3 linked regions of the Daphnia pulex genome follow. The protein of the gene in region 3 purifies or fractionates together with the protein of the main gene of each other region. This does not show direct contact. Links are inferred from orthologs where the notes say so. Each region holds a gene or a part of one and is shown on either strand. Other genes may lie near its edges.

The links.
Region 1: the proteins of acidic fibroblast growth factor intracellular-binding protein B-like (region 3) and C2 domain-containing protein 5-like purify together in Homo sapiens (affinity purification with mass spectrometry; 3 studies listed by BioGRID and IntAct, counting the BioPlex papers as one, with this or other methods). This does not show direct contact. The link is inferred for Daphnia pulex from reciprocal best matches to the Homo sapiens genes FIBP and C2CD5.
Region 2: the proteins of acidic fibroblast growth factor intracellular-binding protein B-like (region 3) and cyclin-dependent-like kinase 5 purify together in Homo sapiens (affinity purification with mass spectrometry; 7 studies listed by BioGRID and IntAct, counting the BioPlex papers as one, with this or other methods). This does not show direct contact. The link is inferred for Daphnia pulex from reciprocal best matches to the Homo sapiens genes FIBP and CDK5.

Annotation. Positions count from the first base shown.
Region 1 is NC_060019.1:9,641,197-9,645,324, reverse strand, and holds the start of C2 domain-containing protein 5-like, read right to left. Parts: upstream 2,934-4,128; 5' UTR 2,665-2,933; coding exon 2,488-2,664; intron 2,426-2,487; coding exon 2,248-2,425; intron 2,187-2,247; coding exon 2,043-2,186; intron 1,974-2,042; coding exon 1,757-1,973; intron 1,679-1,756; coding exon 1,532-1,678; intron 1,318-1,531; coding exon 362-1,317; intron 297-361; coding exon 93-296; intron 34-92; coding exon 1-33. Other genes in the region: L-lactate dehydrogenase-like, read right to left, coding at 3,621-3,785, 3,858-3,981, 4,043-4,128. UniProt on the Homo sapiens protein: Required for insulin-stimulated glucose transport and glucose transporter SLC2A4/GLUT4 translocation from intracellular glucose storage vesicle (GSV) to the plasma membrane (PM) in adipocytes.
Region 2 is NC_060026.1:15,917,846-15,921,801, forward strand, and holds cyclin-dependent-like kinase 5, read left to right. Parts: upstream 1-1,407; 5' UTR 1,408-1,550; coding exon 1,551-1,587; intron 1,588-1,711; coding exon 1,712-1,785; intron 1,786-1,859; coding exon 1,860-1,874; intron 1,875-1,943; coding exon 1,944-2,006; intron 2,007-2,078; coding exon 2,079-2,209; intron 2,210-2,271; coding exon 2,272-2,359; intron 2,360-2,468; coding exon 2,469-2,555; intron 2,556-2,619; coding exon 2,620-2,704; intron 2,705-2,763; coding exon 2,764-2,841; intron 2,842-2,901; coding exon 2,902-3,035; intron 3,036-3,096; coding exon 3,097-3,195; 3' UTR 3,196-3,401; downstream 3,402-3,956. Other genes in the region: sperm-associated antigen 7 homolog, read right to left, coding at 3,445-3,590, 3,648-3,747, 3,806-3,956. UniProt on the Homo sapiens protein: Proline-directed serine/threonine-protein kinase essential for neuronal cell cycle arrest and differentiation and may be involved in apoptotic cell death in neuronal diseases by triggering abortive cell cycle re-entry. Interacts with D1 and D3-type G1 cyclins.
Region 3 is NC_060018.1:28,022-31,794, forward strand, and holds acidic fibroblast growth factor intracellular-binding protein B-like, read left to right. Parts: upstream 1-1,228; 5' UTR 1,229-1,347; coding exon 1,348-1,405; intron 1,406-1,469; coding exon 1,470-1,701; intron 1,702-1,771; coding exon 1,772-1,853; intron 1,854-1,944; coding exon 1,945-1,973; intron 1,974-2,038; coding exon 2,039-2,155; intron 2,156-2,238; coding exon 2,239-2,527; intron 2,528-2,596; coding exon 2,597-2,826; intron 2,827-2,924; coding exon 2,925-3,003; 3' UTR 3,004-3,187; downstream 3,188-3,773. UniProt on the Homo sapiens protein: May be involved in mitogenic function of FGF1. May mediate with IER2 FGF-signaling in the establishment of laterality in the embryo.

The sequences.
Region 1 (4,128 bases), on a different chromosome or scaffold from region 3:
ACAACTTGACAGACCTGGCACTCACTGTTCCCCCTGTGAACAGAATTACACTTTCTTTATCTGCGATGATGAAAAATTCCAATCAAAATTACCAATATGTACGATGAATCCAGGGGGGTAGGTCTTCATTGTCAAGAAAGGATATTCGAGGACTTCAAGGTTCCTAGTAACATCAGTATTGAGATATGCGCTAGTAGGTGGAGCAGGAACTGATGTCTGACGGTGAGTCGTCGGACGACAGTTGGATGCAATTACGCCTCCCCCTGATGAACCGAAGCTATCGGATAAACTGGAAGCTGCGAAGGAGTTTAATTGAATTCAAGAATTTTTACGGATGAAATTCAAATGATTATCTCTAAACCTTTTGGAGTTGTGTTGATTTCAGATTCTGAAGAGCGTCGACAGGGAGAAGGTCGTGAAGGAGTCATTCCATGTACGACCACTGGAGTGGTGATGGCAGCAGTACTATGTAATGGTTTAACGACATCGACTGGCGAAATGGCTGCACAACGAGGAGATCTAGTTGGGTAGGGACAAATAGGTTGCATTTCAGGCAAAGGTGGGTGAGTGGTTGCATTCAACGCTACGTTAGAAGACAGATCGTCTTTGCTATCGACTAATCGTAGTAATGACAACGGTGTTTCAATCGAGCGTTCGTTTTGTTGCTCCTGTTTTAAAGGGAAATAATTCAGAGAGATTTCAGAGCTGCTTGAGCAGCTGTCTTCAGGAGCATTAACACGAAAAAAGGAGCACGATTCCTGGGATCCTGACAAGGCTAAGTCGTCGTCAGTCCACCCTCGCAAGTCTTTCTTGAATTTGAATTCGTTGATATCTGGTGAATGGTTAATGACAGGTAAAAGTGTTTTGCTAATAGGACTGTTCTCTTGTGAATCAGAAACGGAGTCTCCGTGATTTTCCAGGATAGGTGACATCTCGCAAATAAGCGAGCGTGAGCGAATTCGGGATTGAGGACTACTTTTGGTGGAATCGTCATCACATGGAACTGACAAAGTATTTGGCGACGCAGTTTCGCGCGGTCTACCAACTTTCCCTTTAATCCCAGATTTGGCAAACAAATTGCTGAGAGAGAGCTTTCGTTTCGCGGGGGTCTTCACAATGCCAACACAGCCTTCGAGCACTTTAGCTACGGAAATGGAAGCCTGAAGTTTGATTGGCAATTGGTTGGTGTCTTCATGCATTGGTAATGACTGTAGCCTATAAAAGCGTGGCACAGGAGTTTTCGTAGGTAAGCATTCGTGATCGTCTAACTGGAGAAGGGGTTCGCTCTGATGCAAACGAGGCCGAGTGCTATCATTTCTATCGGTGATGATTGTGAGGAAGACAAACCACAAATCGACGAAAGCGATCACACAAAGTTAGTTACATAGCAATAGGTGTGCAAATCATTGACGATTGTCCAAACCAAAATGAAGAGGAGAATACCCGATTGAATGGAAGAGATATTGAAATTATAGATTAGCGTGAAAGTGGAATTAATTTGTGAGGTTATTTGGGCCAAGGTGTAACTTACTCTCGGCCACTACTTCCATGGTGCTGTTCTTTGAACCAGGTAACTGCTGCGTTTCCATCGAAATGGCACCTAGCTAGTGTTACGGCTGTCCCTATCCCGCGTACCACTAGCCCAGTTACTCCTTCAAGATCAAACATTTGCTGGTATCTAGATTGTAAAGTAATTACGATCGATGAATATACCTGGGAATTTTGGCAAGGAGAAATAGAAGACACATTAACTTACCCAACTACAGCATTTCCGCCAAGCTCTAATACTTTTAATCCGATTTTACGACGTACTTCCCCCGAAAGTTGAGAGAACAATGTTTGTCTGGCTTCATTTGACGCTCTTGGTGTCCGAATTTTGTCTATCCATTGATATTCTGGGTCATCATTAACAACAAGTTCTTTAACAAACCCTTGAATAGACTGAATTTTAAAACCGTGAGGTGTTGACGGAGCTGCAAAGAGAAGTGAATGTTAAATTTAAAAAAAAACTCCTTGTAAATCTACAAAGAAAAATTGCTTACTACTGAAAAATTGAACACCACATGAACTTTGCCGAAACTTGTTAACATCAGAAAATAATTCAACCTTGACTATGACTGACACTTCCCCTCTCATTCCATGCATTGTATCATACACTGGAAGCCAACCTGATAATACATGCCCTCCTGTTGAAAAAGAATAGTTGAATCAATCAACAAAACTGCATGAGCATAACAAAATTCATACCTGAACTCGGGACAGAGCAAGCTTCCGATCTGATACCTCTGATACCTGAAATGCCAGGTGTGACCAGAAGTGGATTTAAATCTAAGTATACTTTTCCTATGGCATCATTTGCAGAGTATGTATCGTAATCCATTAATCTTATTTGAAGTGGTTCATCTTGAAGTTCTGCATCGTCAACCTAAGAAAGAAAATGATTCTTTAGCCTGATATTCAAAATGTGTTGAAACATCAAATATTTACCTCAAAGATAAACCATTCTGAATTCCATTGAGGATTTAGAGATTTTCGAAAAACATCTGTCTTTTGGGTTATGCTACCTAATTTTATCTCAACATAAGCGTCCGTAGTGTCACTTGAACGATCCATTACAGGAAGGTTCCTTCCAGCAAGAATTTTCACTTTAACTTTTCCCGGCATGATTTATTGATTTGCTATTGGATTCACCGATTCACGTTGAGCTACAAAATTCACCAATAGCTTTTTACAATAAGTTGAATAAATCTGTTTGACTAAATAGACATTGTAACTTAAAAAATGTCAATGTGGAGCCATAAGTCTCTCGTTCTATAATAGCTAACACTTTATTAAATGTTCAATATCAAGTCATCAAACCATCCTTTGCTCAGAGCCTCAGACCCTAAAAAAAAAAACTGAAAATTGTCGTCTGCTTTTGCTATGAAAACATTGATAAAACGAAGAAGCGTAATAAGGGAAAACGTGGGAAAAAGGGCTGCGGAATGTAAAAAGACACTGCGGGAAAAGGCCAAGCTTATCATTAAAATTCAAATAGAAAGACCATATGATTTTATTACTGTGATGCACTATAATGTAAAGGCAGTCACGTGAAATTTACGTGGAATTTCGTTTTCTTATTCTTTAATAGATATGCACTAATAAAGGTTTTACATAATATTAAACTTGCTCGAATATAAAAAATTGTCAAGCATGTGTATGACATGTGCGGATGTGCCTTAATACCAACGAAATCGAATTTTAAATTTTAAAAGAACCTTTTGTGGCTTTTTACCCTTGGAATAATAATCCTGCAGTCGCGAAATTTTTAAAGTATCTTTTAAAAACTTAGCAAAAATTTGTTTGTCTTGACAAAAGATTCCTTTTCGCGTGCGCTTCTAAGCTAAAACTTCCAAGCACAAATATATATTGTTGCTATCATAAAAAAATGAATAGGACTATAAGTTTTTGCTGTAAATTTGATCAACTTAGTAATTTGAAAGTTTTACAAACAGTATTCGACTTGACAATCGTGTATTTTACTAGGACATAACATATACTAATTATGTTCAGTGAGGGGGGCAGAATTCGAATTTGATTTAGTGACATTTCGAATTTTAAACATTTTTATAGTACATATTTTATAATACCAAATTTATTTGAACTTCATTCAAAGTGGCAGCTGATTTTTGAAGTTGACTGCGTTCACCTTCAGTTAAAGTTTGTTGGATGACATCAGTAATGCCGTTTTCACCAACCACACATGGGACGGACAGAAAAACGGGTTGTTCAACTCCATGGATTCCCTATTTGAATAAATCATTATAGAAATAGCTGTATAGCGTAACCCTTACCACAATAGTAATAAAATTAAGTACCTGGACAAAAGTTGAGACCGCGAAGACGTTGCGGGAATTTTTCAAAATGGCTTTTGTGAGAATAGAAACACTCAAACCAATTGCCCATGAGGTGTAACCCTTTAGTCGGATAATTTCATATGCACTAAAAGTGAACACTAAAATTACTCACACAATTAAATATGATTGTTTTGTTAAATAGCAACCTCTGGACGACTTGTGTGTGAATTTGACCCCAATTTTCAGTATCTGCATCAGTTCCAGCGGCCGGATTGAGATCCCTCAGTCGAAC
Region 2 (3,956 bases), on a different chromosome or scaffold from region 3:
TGATAAAACGTGAATTTCGGGCGAAACACCAACAGTGACGTAGTTGTCCAATACAGAAATTATTGACGGAAGAAACTTTGCCATTTTGATTTTCATAGAATGGAAAATTAATATTAAAATATTTAGATTGCAGGACGTGGCAGATGGTGAATCTTGAATTATCATGGATTTTAACACATCGCTGGCGAGTGAATCGTATTGGTCATCCTAAAAAATTGGTTATAAATCTTTTGCCACTTTAAATAACTCGAGAAAATAGCTAACTTGATTCCACTGAGACGGATCATCTGGATCCAAGTTCTGAGCTTTGAGGCAGATGTCGAGGCACTTGTACAAATTTAACTTGTCATCGAATTCAACGTTTTTCTTTAAAGCACTAAATATGACTGCAAACCATCCTCGTTGGAGCAGAGATTTTGGGTTGAGCTGTGCAAATGACAAGGGCATTATTAGCAACACTAGCCGAAATTGGAAGACATTTCTTTTATCCATACACTTAATATATGATGAAGACACTCTAGGCCTTTCTTCTGGTAATCTGGTTCCCAATCATCGAATAACACTAAAGAAACAGGCACAGCAAAATCTACCGATTCATCAATAGAAGGCAGCTAAAAAAATGAATTGTGAAAGTTTAAGGTTTAATAACTTTCATTTGAATTTTTGATACCATAGTATTGCTGATAATCCAAACAAAACAACTGACTGCTGCAGGGTTTTCTTTGATTTGGTTTTTCCCTAGCTTCGGTTTAAGCTGTTGAAGAGTGGAATAAGCAACACCGTCCATGGCAAATATATCCTGAATATTTTGGAGGTGAAGCTTGGAGAGCAAAAGGTTAAGGAGATCTTTCACATTATCAACTGATTTCTGAGTACTCCATTCAGAACAAATACTGTGCTCACCGCACAGGATGAGTAATGACAATAAAGCTAGATTGTTTTTGGTCCACTCTTCTTTTGTTACGGAGGTACCATTCAGAACTAGCTTTTGTAATTCACATACGGCGTCATCGACTTTACTTGACCATTCACGTTGAAATCCTTTTTCGAAGTGGCTTCGTTCGTTGATAACTTTGACGGGGGGAAGGAGAACTTTCCTAGCTATTTCAGCTACTTCACCCATCGCACACATTGATTTTGCAAAATGTAAAATTTAAAATCCTTGAAGAAGAAAAAACGGCTTAAGGATGCCAATCGTCCAACACAGTTCATAAACATTAGATTTAGAAGAATTTTAATTGAACTTTTGTAACTTTTTTATTTAATTAGTGCAAAAGTAACGAAACTGAGAACAAATTTGAACTGACCACTTGAAAAGAAAAAGTGACAACATGAGCAGACGTAATATTGCAGACGAAAATCTTTCGCCATCTAGCGTTGGAAATTGCAAGTCTCAATAGAAACTGTCAAGATTGATCCTGCCGGCGTCTGCCATAACAATAAAAAAACAAAAACAAAAACGCTTTGTGAGTGCGACTGCGAGAGTGTTTTAATTTTGTTTTAAGTTGATTAAGAGTTTCCCGAGAATCAACGGGATTTATTGTTCTATAATGCAGAAGTATGAAAAATTAGAAAAAATTGGCGAAGGTAATTTTCCCGTACATGTTTGTTTTCCAACCGACACTGAGGATTAAAAGCATACAGACGTTTCACATGTGTGTAGTGAAATTAGCAAGGAATTAATCTCCATCACTTTCTTACATTTCAATAGGAACATATGGTACTGTGTTTAAGGCCAAAAATAGAGAAAATCAGGAAATTGTGGCTCTGAAACGTGTCAGGCTTGTAAGTATATAACACATTTCTTTATATATGATTATTTTAAACTAACCATTTTTATTTGAAAAATTCAATAATAGGATGATGATGATGAGGTATGTCACTTTATATTATTGATCAATCACACCAAGCACTTTTCATTTTATTTCATTTTTCTGGCATAGGGGGTTCCATCAAGTGCCTTAAGAGAAATATGCTTATTGAAAGAACTTAAGCACCGTAATATAGTGAGAGTTTTTCTTTCATTAGCACAATTCTGTACACTTTCTATACTAAGCACATTTCTAAATAACCAACAGGTTCGATTACATGATGTCCTCCACAGTGATACAAAGTTAACCCTAGTATTTGAGCACTGTGACCAGGATTTGAAGAAATACTTTGATAGCTTGAATGGGGAGATAGACAGTGAGCAAGTCCAATCACTGATGTAAGACATCCATTTTGTGCACAAAAAATTTGCTGTTAATTAATTTTCTCCTTTGTCTGAAGGTATCAACTTTTAAGAGGTCTTGCATTCTGCCACAGTAAAAATGTTTTGCACAGAGATCTCAAACCTCAAAACTTGTTGATTAATAAGGTAATGTTTAAGTTTTGGGGCATTTTTAGCTTACCCAGATGATATTAACCCTTTTTTTTAGGATGAGTATTTAAAAATTTGCGTTCACTTACAATCAATTTATTTTTAGAACGGTGAGCTGAAGCTTGCAGATTTCGGCTTAGCAAGAGCATTTGGTATTCCTGTCCGTTGTTATTCGGCTGAGGTTGTTACACTGGTAATATACATAATAATTTGAATTCTAAAAATTACAAACATATCTAACAATTTGTAAAAATCAGTGGTATAGACCTCCCGATGTTTTATTTGGTGCCAAGCTGTATACTACTTCCATTGATATGTGGTCTGCGGGCTGCATATTTGCTGGTAACGTTTGCTGTCCTATTCAATTTCGTGATCAGTATTACATCTCTCATTCTTTTTAGAACTTGCCAACGCGGGGCGACCCCTTTTTCCTGGAAGCGATATTGATGACCAACTCAAACGGATATTCAAGTTACTTGGTACGGAATTCTAAAGTGGTTTACGGAGGGCAATTATTTAATAATTAAATTAATCGATAGGAACTCCAAACGAAGAAGTTTGGCCTGGTATATCTCAACTGCCAGACTACAAGCCATTACCCATCTATCAACCAACAAGTAGCTTCGCGCAAGTTGTTCCAAAAATGAGTCCCAAAGGCAGAGATTTACTTCAGGTATTGACTATAATTTTGATATTTCTCAACTTTTTTCTGACTTCCCTTTTGAATTCCATAGAAATTATTACTGTGCAATCCTGCTCTTCGGATTTCTGCAGATGACGCGATGGCGCATTACTATTTTACCGATTTACCTTCAAGTATAAAACATCTATAAGTTATTTTGATTTTTAATTGTAAGACTTAAATTTTGTATCCCCAAACAAAATGATTCTAGAATATTTTTTATATCGAGCAAATTCCTTTTTTATCGATTCTTTTTTTCTTTACCGTGAACACATTGTACTTGCGCGTACATTTTAGAGGATTGTGGTTAGTCAAATTGAATTGCAGTCCAATACAATACATAATTCGAATGGTAAACTAATATTCACATGCGGATGTTGGAGAAATCCTCTTGGTGAAGTTACTCCGTCTTCTGCCTTTTTTTGGCACGAATGTCGGCCAATGTTTGCTCGATGGAGCGTTGATCTTTTTTGTTCTCGGATGAAACAAAACCGTATTTTCGATTTACCTGAGTAACTTTAACAGCATCTTTTACTGCTTCTTTACCTAGTAGATGTCAAAATTTAGTACGTAGGGCGTTTTGTTGTGCTTAATTTAAATTACCGATTAACCGATCGTATTTGTTAACATATTGAGCTGACGATACTGTACTGTCACTTTTTGAAGCTGGTTGCTCGTCCTCCTCATCTTCAGGTTCGGGATTCTACAAAAGATCAATTCCTTATTAGTTCACTCAGAATAATAATAGCTTTGAAATATACCTGTTTGACTGAATCTGGATTCCATGGTATACCCTTTCTGTAAGCATTTAATTCATCTGGGCCTGGAGTAAATTCTTTTTTATAGACAACCACATGTCTGTCAACATCTTCTTCCCCAAATGAAAATGCAGAAAGGCCTGCAGTCTCAGCA
Region 3 (3,773 bases):
ATTGCGGCAATTGGATTACCTTTAAGTAAATAAAGTAAGTGGTATTTTTACTTTACCTATCTAATTCACTTTGCTTTACTTAATCTAGATAAGTAACTAAGCGGGAATAAGCCCGAGCATACCGTAAAAATATAGTTGTTTTTGGTTATAGTATAGTAAAGTATAATGAAGTATGGTTTGATGCTTTATTATACTTTATTATACCCACCCAAAACCCCTGTATTTCCTCGCTACGCTCGGGCTCATTCCCGCTTAGTTACTTTTCTAGATTAAGTAAAGTAAAGTGAATTAGATAAGTAAAGTAAAGTAAGAAGTTGGTCGGGTAAAATAGACTTTTACCCAAGTGTGATCCAAAAAAATGTTCTCCATCCGGTCTATGACAAAACAAAATGGAATAAGGTTGGGCAATAAGTTAATGTAATGGCAGTTATGGCTGGTAAGGAGGGTTTATTTCGCTTACTGAAATCAGAAATTTTTAACTTACAAGTCCATGTTGAATCTGAGCCAGAGATTCAAGCAACAGTTTATTCTATCATGCACCTTTTGCTAATTGGTAGGCCTATACACAATTTTTTTCAAAAAGGTTTAATTTGCAAGTAACAAGTTGTTAACGTGGAGTCGGAACGTGTTCTTTCAATTCTAAAGTGTTGTGATATCGTCTGCTCTAGACCTCTAGTTGCCAGATGGAAAAAAAAATTTGTTGAGATTTGAGAAAAATGAGAATAATAAGTTTTTTTTTCTTTAAAATCCTTATGGTCACGCACCACGAGGAAAAAGTCAGGAAAAAGCCGTAAAACTCGAAAAATTTCAATTCACAATTCTCTATTAAAGAGGTTCGTCTGCTTTAAATAAAGAAAGTCTGGCAACATCTAATTTGCATATTTATTTCAAATTTACTTTTATAAAATATTAAATGTAATATTTTTACAGAGAACACTGTATGAATCTGGCTAACTTAATTTTTAGTTTCTTGACATGAATCCAGTTAACCAGTAGGAGGAAAAATAATTCACATGACCTAGAATAAAGGTCTAGTAAATGAGTAATAACTGGAAGGATATAAATTTGATTTCCCAGTAAAACTCATGTGCTTGAATCACGTAATCAGTAATCGCGAATTAGTCCGGATTCCGGAAATGAAATTTTGTTTTGCTTAAATTTCAAAATTTGATCCGCCTAGCGGCGATATCGAACACCGTCTATGAAAGTATCGATCGTAGCTTTGCCTTTGGCTATCTGACCGTAGTCTGCTTGCTATTCATTGTTGTTTTCAGATTGTTGTTTCTATTTGTCTGTCTAAATCCCTTTACGGCACAATTTTCATTGAGCACTTCCGATTACGTTAACATGGAATGCAGCGTTGACGTATTTGTAGGCAATTCCACTATAATCGACCCTGAAATATGTAGCAACTAAAAACATTATCAAATTGAAAATCCCAACCATATAATTGGATATATTATTTCTAGATCAACTCTGGGTCGACGGCAATTCCTCTCACGAGGCCGCCGACATTTTACAGCAAAGAGGAATACTTCAGCAATGGGGGGCTAATATGGATCTCCTGATGTCAGATGTACTAGACCATTATCGAACATTTCACATGCTGGAAAAGACACTTCACACTCCACTCAAATTAACTGCCGCTGGAGAGTGGACATTTCAAATGGAGGCAGACACTCAGCAATTGCTCATTGAAAAGTATATCTAGATGGTTAGTCAATTCCATTATCAATTTCACTTGCAATTTATTCTCATTTTTAATCATTAGATATTACGAATTGGATGATGTAGTTGTAAGGGAGGTCCTGGGGAAGAAGCTCTCCTCAAGACATCGGAAAGATTTGGATGAGGTGAGCCATTAAAAATGATAAGAGAAGGTTGAAAGCCTGTTCATTGCGGTGTGTGTGGTAAAATGTAATGTGATTTCTAAATGTTTCCTAGGTTTCTGAAAAAACAGCAATATCTCTAAGGTACAACAAGTTAATAGGTCAGTACCTCTGTTATTAAATCATCGTCAATGGATTGATTTCCTCAGGTCTTGCAGGAGGCAATTTGACAATGTCAAGCGTATCCACAAGCTTGTCGAAGAGATGCCAGGTCACATAGTGCACAATATCCAACATAACTTTCTTCTCTCTGCTGAACTGTCGAAGTAAGTTTCCCCGTCTGTCTTTAGACCGTTGTCGTTATTAAAATTGCATGATTCATCGGACGAAATGCCTGTCGTTTTTCTAGGAAATATGCTGCAGTGGTCTTTGTGGCCGTCAACCGTTTCGAAACCAACAAAAGAAAACTTCAGTACTTGAATTTTGGAGATTTCTACCATTGTGCTCATCAGATGATCGTTCACTGGTCCTCGACTGCTTCGTGTCACGCGACTTTAGTTAGGAATCAGTTGGAAACGGAAACGGAAATCGAAACGGATCTCGATGTCGACAGGGGATTCCTGCACGACCTGAGAGAGGTGCGCATACTCCTCGACAAAGAAAAAGAGCACAAGCATCTCGTTTGCTCTCAGCTCAAGGTGATAATCTCCCGTGTTCATTCGGTTTCATGTCAGGACGTGTGAAACTAACCATTCCATCCGCTTAAGGGACGGCTGACGGATAAGATTTACGCCGACATGGAATCCTCTTTCAAGACGCATTCACGTTCACTCGTGTCCTTGGCCGGCAATCTCAATAGATCGAGAGAACTGCGATCCCTCTTTGTGGACTTGGTGGAGCGCTGCGTCGAGCCTCTGAGGCAGGCCAGGTGGACATCAAGGGATTTGAGACTGTTCCTCGACTACTACACACCAGCCGGAGTTCAATTGTTTAAAAGGTAAAGTATCTTGTTACGAATGTTTGGTCAGAATGTCAAATGTAATTTTTTTTCGTTTAACTCATTCTTTCCACTATTTTTGCTGCCCTGATGCACAGCGATTCGGCGACAGCTCTCGTATGGGAGCGCTACATGAAAGTCATTTCCAGCTGCCTAGTCAAAATCTACCACAACTAGTTCGTGTGTCGAATCAGATGCTTTAATACCTTCATTACCTACCGTCTCCTGCGACCCGGAAAATGCCCCTTGTTATTTCCACTCCGTTTTATCGTGTGTCCACACGGGCAATTCTGAAGCAGGTGTTATACGTACGAGAATTATCCGCTTAACTCTGTAAATAAACTTTTGGAAATTGTCAAAACATCCGTATAGATAGATAGAAACTTGTATTGCTTGTAACTGACTAGGTCGGGTATTATATACAAATGTGAAACGATTCGTAAAGCAAAGTGTATGTGTGTGGGAGTACGGAAAGTTTGAAACAAAAAAATCGGGGAACGAGAGTGTTAAATAACCGAGTTGGTGTAATAATGTTAATTAGTTTGATCGATAAGGGGCGAGGTTTTTCTTTTTACTAAACATACCCGTCAAATGTAATTTGTTATTATTATGTTTAACTTTTTTTTTGTGCGGGTTACTCTTTTTTTTTAATATGTAAATTTGCGCTCGTCTATCGTTGTTGCGACATGTCCTCCGCTTCTTGACGAGGCGGGAACAAGTGCTCTGGCGAGATTTAAAAAAACAAACGAAAAAGGGAATCATGTTTTTTCTTTTTGCTTTCGTTTTGGCAAGGGAAATCGTTTTAACGTGTCGATTTGCAAAGGAATTGCGCAGTGTGTCTTTCCACTGGGCATTCGACTTGGTGATCATCAAGTCAAAGACAGAGGAGGAGGAGGACAACGAGTTCGTCGCTGAGGTAAAAAAAAAATTTGTTTTCAACGAAAAGA